Linked DNA regions of Mus musculus. The protein of the gene in region 1 purifies or fractionates together with the protein of each later gene. This does not show direct contact. Links are inferred from orthologs where the notes say so. Each region holds a gene or a part of one and is shown on either strand. Other genes may lie near its edges.

Region 1 (3,960 bases):
ACACGGTCATACATGTAAGCCAAAGACCCAGACACAGAAGAGAGAGGGGAGGGGAGGGGAGAGGAGGGAGGAGGGAGGCCCCATCTTTTCAATCCCCAGGTCCTAGCCCAGAGGTGCATTCTTTTCACAGAACTCACCCACTCATCCTGCAAGGCTTTCAGAATGGCTGGGATGCTGGTGGCGGAGGGAGGCTTGGGTCGGATTGGGTGAGCAACTGCCAAGAGAGGCAGCAAAGTAGGTATGAAGAACTAGAACCCAGGGAACTCTCCCCCACCACCCCCACCCCCAGCCACCATCTTCTCCACCAGATTGGCTCCACCCCCCACCGGTGAAGGCTGAGCTGAGCTGGCCTTGGACTTGAGGCTACTGGGCAGGCACCTTTGATGTCGATGAGCTGCTCCTCTGAGAGAGGCTGGTTGTTGATAGGATCTGTGCCATTCTCTGCAATGTACTTCTCAATGAGTCGCCGCTCATACACATGATTAGAGACAGGGGACACGCACGGGTGCTCTGGCACTTCATTGGAGACTATAGAGAAAGACAGGTAGTGAGAGTGAGCACAGGAGAAAAGGAGACGTGGGCAGAGGAGATTCTTCATTGTGTCAGCCCCAACAAGACCATGTCCTCCTAGTCAGCTATCAGGAAGCAAGGTCTGTGACAGCAAGCCTGCCCGTACTTGGTCCTACAATGCTCGCCAACTACTTAGCTAAATTCTCTGGTCTGCTGATAATAAAAGTCAATAAATAATAACTGCCCAGATCCTATGTGCCAGTACTGTACAGAGTGGTCAGTAAGTCCTGCCCATCTCATTTTTGAACCGAGATGGACAGAGAAGCACACAGAGCACAACTCAAACCTGTCATCCAGTGGGAGCCCTAGACAGATCAACAGGAGAAATTCCGAAGCAACGTGACAAGTACTGATAAAATGAAAACAAGCAAACAAAGAGCTCTGCTACTACATGCCAAGCAAGATTCTATTCTAAGCGCTTGACAGAATAGTCTGTGTACCCTTGAAGATGGCCGTTACAGCTGTCACTGACCTCCAGGACAATGCAGATACTAAGCTGACACTTGATAAACATCATAACAGGGTAAATGAGTGCAAAAGTCCCGGGGCCCAGAAAAGAATATTCCAAAGTACGAAGCCTTGAGCATGCTTAACTACCAAAATAAAAAATAAAGAAATGAAGGCCCCAAAAGCAGGCTTAAAACCAAGGTCTCTCTGACCTTCTCAGACTTGTTTCTCTACCTTCCCCTAAACAGGGTCAACTGGTTCACTTTAGCAGACAAGTGGAAGCTACCTCCACATCAGACTCTTCTGAAAGCTGCTCTAAGATAGCGACTTGTCACATCACAAAACAGCTCTTATTCACCACACAATTCTATTCAGCCTCCCATAGGTTGTGAGTCACCATCCTAAGGTTCAAGCTCCTATTCTTCTCCGTGGCTTCTCTTAGAATCACCTATTTTTGCAGGACTCCCATGCATGTGTTATTAAGTATGGATTTGTGCCATATTTAAAACCCGTATCTTGTACACGGCCTTCCTGTCCTATTCTGTTGGTTTATCACACTACTCGACGACTAAAGCTTTCTGGGAGCTTTCCCTCTTCTACCAGAGGAAGGATAGCCCTGGGCACGTAAGAGTGTGGTCTCAAAGATGGAAAGAAAACAAATCGTTTGTAAATACTTTGCAAACTGCAATTTCTCTAGTATGAGATTTCCTTTTCTGCTTGTCATTTCCCTCCTCCTTTTCCTTCTTTGAACTAATGGCAACGTTCTGAGAGGGAAATAGAGAAGGCGAGGAATCTAGTAACGTGGTAAACAATATGGGAGAACACCCGCAATGCCGTAATACAACACCCCAAGACAGGACAGCATAGTGCACGGGAAAACCATGGATCCAGGCTCAAAGAGCCAAGCTCCACTGCTTAGCTTCCTCGCACACCCCTAGGTAAACCCATTCTTCAAGACTTCCGACACCCTCTGTAACTCACGGATCTTTATTTCCCTTCAGACAATTCTTGTAAGCATAAAATGAGATCACCGTTTGGAAATGCATCGTAAATCAATACAGGTTTTCTAAACATTCGCTGTTTTCATTAGTCATACTGCGCGAGGCTAGAAGCCAGACACCTGGCTTCCAGCCCTGTCTCGAAGTCACTGCGTGATCTCTGCAAATCGGAAAGTCCGATTCCTAAGCGAGGTTTCCCAAGCAATGCCCACTGCAATGCTTTCAATTTTGCAGATGGGGAAACTGAGGCCCAAACCCGCTAGAGCCCAGATCACAATTGGAGGCGGATCCTGGGCATGTCCTCGGGTTTTTTGACACCAAGAGCTGTTTTTCACTGCACCAGCTCCTCCCCCCCACTTCTGCTCAGGCCTGTCTCAGCTCTGTAAAACGACGCCGGTTTCAAAAGACCCCTGAGACAGTCATTCTTCCCAGCTACGTGAATTGCGCAGCCCTGCGCAAATGCACCCTGCACGCAGGGCCGGGAGCTCCAGGGCCCGAGCCACAGGGGCCACACACGCTCCCGCCTCCCGCCGCAGCCAGCACTCACTCGAGCAGATCAGGGACATGGCGCCGTCGTAGCGCTGCTGCCAGTCGCCTCACAGAGGGTTCCCGGTTCTCTGCAGCCTCCGCGGGCCACTTCCGGTCCCCCGCCGCTTCCGGAGCGCTCGGACGCGGGTAGACAGCTGCCCAGCGTGGCGATGCTCGCACAACTGCTTCACGTGGGGAGGTGGCCGGTGGCGCGCCTCAGCCTTCTGCAGCTAACGGAAACTGCCCTTTCCCAGCATGCAACCGAGCAGGAAAAGGCCCGCCTCGAAACACTCGGCTGTTTCCGCATTGGCTCGGCTTCTTCCGGCGAGCGCTCCAAGAGGCCTGAGGCGGGAAGGAGAGAAGAAACTACATTTCCCATGAGGCTGCGGGGACCGCCAAGGCTCTTTTTTTTTTTTTTTTTTTTAGATGGAGCTGCTGTCACCTAGGGAACACTAGTCTTTGAAATGGTCGTGTGCAAGACAGATTTTTCAGGAGCTTGTAAAAGTGCAGATTCCTAGAGTCTGCCTTAGAGAGTCTGTAGGCATGATTCGGAGACCTGTGTTCCTTGGCCGGCTTTTGAGAAACAATGTGACCCTGTAAATAAAGCACAAATGAGTAAAGAAACTAACACTGCCTAAATTCTTGCTCTGGAAATATGGGCAAGCCAATGACTTCGTTGCCTGCTACGTTTTAAATATAGTCTGTTTTGTAAACTCAAGGGAATTTAGTTCCCAGCGTCTTATGTGTACGTTTAAAAGAATGGAAATTTGATGGGTGTGTTTGCAGAAGTCTTTAAACACAGGCACTGGGCTTCAGAGGCAGGCAGATCTCGGAGTACAAGTCCAACCTGGTTATATAGTGAGCTCCAATCCAGGGCAGTCAGAGCTGTGTAGAGAGAACATGTCTCAATAAGCAACCAAACAGTAAGAGTGGAAAGTTAGCACGACTATGGTGTTTTTCTGTGGTTTTGTTTTTGTTTTTTTGAGACTGGGTTTGTGTGTGTGTGTGTGTGTGTGTGTGTGTGTGTGTGTGTGTAGCCCTGGCTGTCCTGGAACTCAGTCTGCAGATAAGGCTGGCCTCAAACTCAAAGATCTTCCTGTCTCTGCCTTTTGAGTGCTGAAATCAAAGGTGTGTGTCATTACTATCTAGCTTAACTGTGGAATGTAGAGGTGGGATCTTTAGAATAAGACATTACAAGAATCCTGGTGGAGTTCATATAGGGAAAGAAAGAGTGAACAGGCACAAATGAACCAGTTGACTTCCATGGCAATGTGACACCAGCAAGGAAGAGGCCCTAGACATTGCCCACGTCATTCTCTTTGAACCTTGTGCTTCTAGAAATTTGAGCAAGGAGAACCCTCTTTTCTTTAAAGTAGCCTACCTCAGGTGTTTTGTTATAATAACAGTTCCCTGCCTC
Region 2 (3,500 bases), on another chromosome or scaffold:
TCAGGGATCTGACAACTTCTTCTGGCCTTCATCGGCACCAGACACACATGTTGTACACAAATGTACATGCAGGCAAAACACACCTATACATGTAAAATAAAAACCAAAACTAAAACAAACAAACAAACAAAAAAAACCCAGTCAAAATAGTGTTAGGAACAACAATCCTCAACATGCCTGAATTCTTTATATTTACCGTTTACTTCTAAAACTATAAACTGTTTATTTCAGAAATAAAACACAGGTGAGGGACATGGGAGCAGTTTATTGTAAAATACAAAGCAGCAATGTTTTCTGCAAGTGAGCTTTCATGAAAGACCGGATATCCTCATCAACACCAAGCACGAACAGGACAGCCATGAAGACACTAAAATCGCTTTCTCTTGATAATTTCTGGTTTCCAGCTGACTGGGTGAGTTTCTTCTGTCTAAAATCAGAACAGTAAACAAAGTGTGATTTTATTAGTTTGTTTCCTTTCAATGAAAAGATCTGTCTCTGCTAAATCATAGTACTTGCTTGGCAGGACGTGCTGAGTGGCTCTTGAAAAATTTTAGAAACAGCTGACAAACTTCTGGCATTATCCAAGTTTGACCAGGGATACATGGGTTCGGTTGGATTTCCATTTAGCTATTACAGCAACCCCAGCGCTCTACCTCTACCCTCCTTCCCTCAGCAGTCTCCTGTTTGCCACGATTAATGTATCATTTCCTTCCCAGGAACTGTACTGAGGCAGAACTGTACTTAAAACGTAATGCTTTATCACTGATGTGTCTGCATCAATGAAACCACACAGAAGCCCTGAGCAGGTCAGATCACTATCCAGAGGATGAAACTGATGGTACTATAGTGAGTCTGTTTCTTTTTGTACTCAAATGAGCAGTCCTTGTCAAATTGACATGCAATTCTTTTACTTTAAAATGCATGTGAAAGCTGGGTGTGCTGGCTCATGCCCAAAATCCCAGCATCGGAGAAGCAGAGGCAGGAAGACAGTTTCAAGTTTAAAATCAACTTGAGCTACAAAGTGAGTTCCAGGCCAGCCAGAGGTACCATGTGATACCTTGTCTCTAAATATAAAATATAAAATTAAATTAAACTAAAAAGGAAGGAAGATAGGAAGACAGACAGACAGACAGAGATGGACACTAAGAACTTACCGCAGTCTCATCCTCTCTGTAAACTTTAATGGTTTTATCAGCTTCAGCCGTTAGTAACCGACTTTCTGACCGATCGAAAGCACAAGCAAATATTCCTGACTCACTGTCCAAAGACCCAGGCTGTACAGCTGCATGGACGCGCTGAAAATTATAGCCAGTTCTCCAGTCCCAAAGGTGCATGGTGCCATTGTCAGCTGCAAGGGAAACACACAGCTCTACTTCTATCCCCTCAACAGCTCAGATGACCCAGGAGCTGAACATTACACCAGCAACACACACACACACACACACACACACACACACACACACACACACTCACACACACACACTATCTCTTTCCCTCCCTCCCTCCCTCTCTCTCTAATTCCCTCTAAGTCTCTAATTTATAGACACCATAACATTTAAAATCCAACCAAACATCAGGCAGTTCCTAGCGTAAATCCCTACCTTCATCACATGGGAATGCAAAGATGTCTAAACTATGCAACATGCTGCATGGAACACCACTGAGCACGACGGCAGGCACATTACAAACAGGCACATACACCCTAGTAGGTGTGTCACTACAACAGTGTGATGCTTTAGATACTAACTCACTCACATCAACAGAAGGGCACACTCAACACACCATAGAAACCTTGTGTTACCTCCAGACACAAGCACTCCATCAGCATTGACCGCCAGCGTGTTAATGATTGCATTGTGACCAGAGAGATTTTGAATGAAGCCTCCATCGGGGAATTTCCACTGCTTTATGTTATCTGGAGAACCAGACGCAAATGTGTAACTAGAACAAAGATTGACAGGAATTAATGGGAAAGTACACTGTATCAAAGAAAACTCGCAGCTTTGAAAAAGCTCTGTGTGCTCACTGCTCCAGACAGCCTCAGTAAAATGTAACTTCACCACAGTACAAACTCATCACTATCCTCGCTCCAAGTTCCACCAGCCTTGTCCAGCTGCTGAGATGTACTACTTTAGATCCCAGAGCAGTGTTTTGTTTTCTTTAGTGTGTTACACACTAATTAGCCCAACAAATGTGCACACACACAGGGCAAAAAAAATCTTGAAAGGGAAGGAAAGAGAGGGATGACAAGAGAAAAGGAAGGAAAGGAAGGGAAGGGGACAAGAAAGGGAAGGCGCAGGGAGCAGTGGGGGAGGGTTGGGGGATGTGTGTGGGATGAGCTGAGTCAGGAGTGGCCTGCCTTCTCTGGGAACCGCAGTGCTGATGTCTCTCCCTCCATTTCCTGCACACTTACTTCTCCCTTAGGAATCTAACTCTGCTCTGTCTCTGACAGGACACCATATGTGAAACAATCTGGACAGGTCAAAGTGGGTCCAGTACCCTGTATGTCCAGACACGACTCCCGCCTACTCTGACATTCAGCTTTAACCACAACTTGGCCTTATTTGTCACTCTGTAGAGGGGCTATGGCCTTCATTCCACAGAGCACGAGGCAACAGCAGCAGATGGGAACTGAAAGGCCGTCCTAAGCAGCACAGGCAGAGGTACAGCAGGCCCCCCTGGCCTCAGCGTCACTGAGACGCGGAGAAAGGCAAGCTATCAGCACAGCACACTTACAGTAGCGGATGTAAGACCACAGCCCTCACTGATTTCTTATGGTTCGTCAGTGTCACTCGTGTCTTTCCAGCCACTAGATCCCATAATCGTATTGTGGTATCGTGACTTCCTGTAGTGAAAAGACAGAGACCGGACAGAATCCACAAGTTAAAACCCATTAAACACAATGTACTTGTCTGTGTGTGTGTGTATGTGTGTGTGTGTGTGTGTGTACACTAAATGAAAGTCCTATCACTGTGAATCATTTCCTCAAAATCCTAAAACTGTAGTTATTCTATATTTAGTTCTTTTTAACTTTTTGCCAGAGGCGGTAGAGAGTGGCTAAGTATAAAGAGCAAATAAAAACAAATATGTAATTTTAAACTCCAATGGCAGGGAAGGGGAAAAAATGAATCTTTTTATTTTAAAATCTGTAGTTAGCAAAACAAACCAACTGAAAGAATGACTTTCCAGTCACAGTTAAGATCCAATGTCATTCAAGTAAGATTCATACTAGAATGATAGGTTACAATGCCTAACCTTTTTATGTAATGATACATAAAAAACACAAGATAAAAATATAAACAAACAAACAAAAAACCCTAGAAAACACCTTGCAATCCTAAATTTCAAATGCCCATGATTAAAATCCAAAGAGAAACTAGAACGCGAGTCGGTCGGAGGTGGAGGTGCTTGCGGCGGCTGCAGAATGGCCGGCCGTGCCTCTGGTACGGCTCAGGGGGAGCAGCAGATCGTACCTGTAATGATCTGTGGCTCTGCAGCCT

The links.
Region 2: the proteins of Prpf19 (region 1) and Plrg1 purify together in Homo sapiens (affinity purification with mass spectrometry; 8 studies listed by BioGRID and IntAct, counting the BioPlex papers as one, with this or other methods). This does not show direct contact. The link is inferred for Mus musculus from reciprocal best matches to the Homo sapiens genes PRPF19 and PLRG1.

The regions. Positions count from the first base shown.
Region 1 is NC_000085.6:10,894,071-10,898,030, reverse strand, and holds the start of Prpf19 (pre-mRNA-processing factor 19), read right to left. Parts: upstream 2,801-3,960; 5' UTR 2,582-2,800; coding exon 2,563-2,581; intron 529-2,562; coding exon 379-528; intron 215-378; coding exon 138-214; intron 1-137. UniProt on the Homo sapiens protein: Ubiquitin-protein ligase which is a core component of several complexes mainly involved pre-mRNA splicing and DNA repair. Required for pre-mRNA splicing as component of the spliceosome.
Region 2 is NC_000069.6:83,069,038-83,072,537, reverse strand, and holds the end of Plrg1 (pleiotropic regulator 1), read right to left. Parts: coding exon 3,474-3,500; intron 2,846-3,473; coding exon 2,737-2,845; intron 1,942-2,736; coding exon 1,802-1,941; intron 1,349-1,801; coding exon 1,155-1,348; intron 428-1,154; coding exon 368-427; 3' UTR 247-367; downstream 1-246. UniProt on the Homo sapiens protein: Involved in pre-mRNA splicing as component of the spliceosome. Component of the PRP19-CDC5L complex that forms an integral part of the spliceosome and is required for activating pre-mRNA splicing.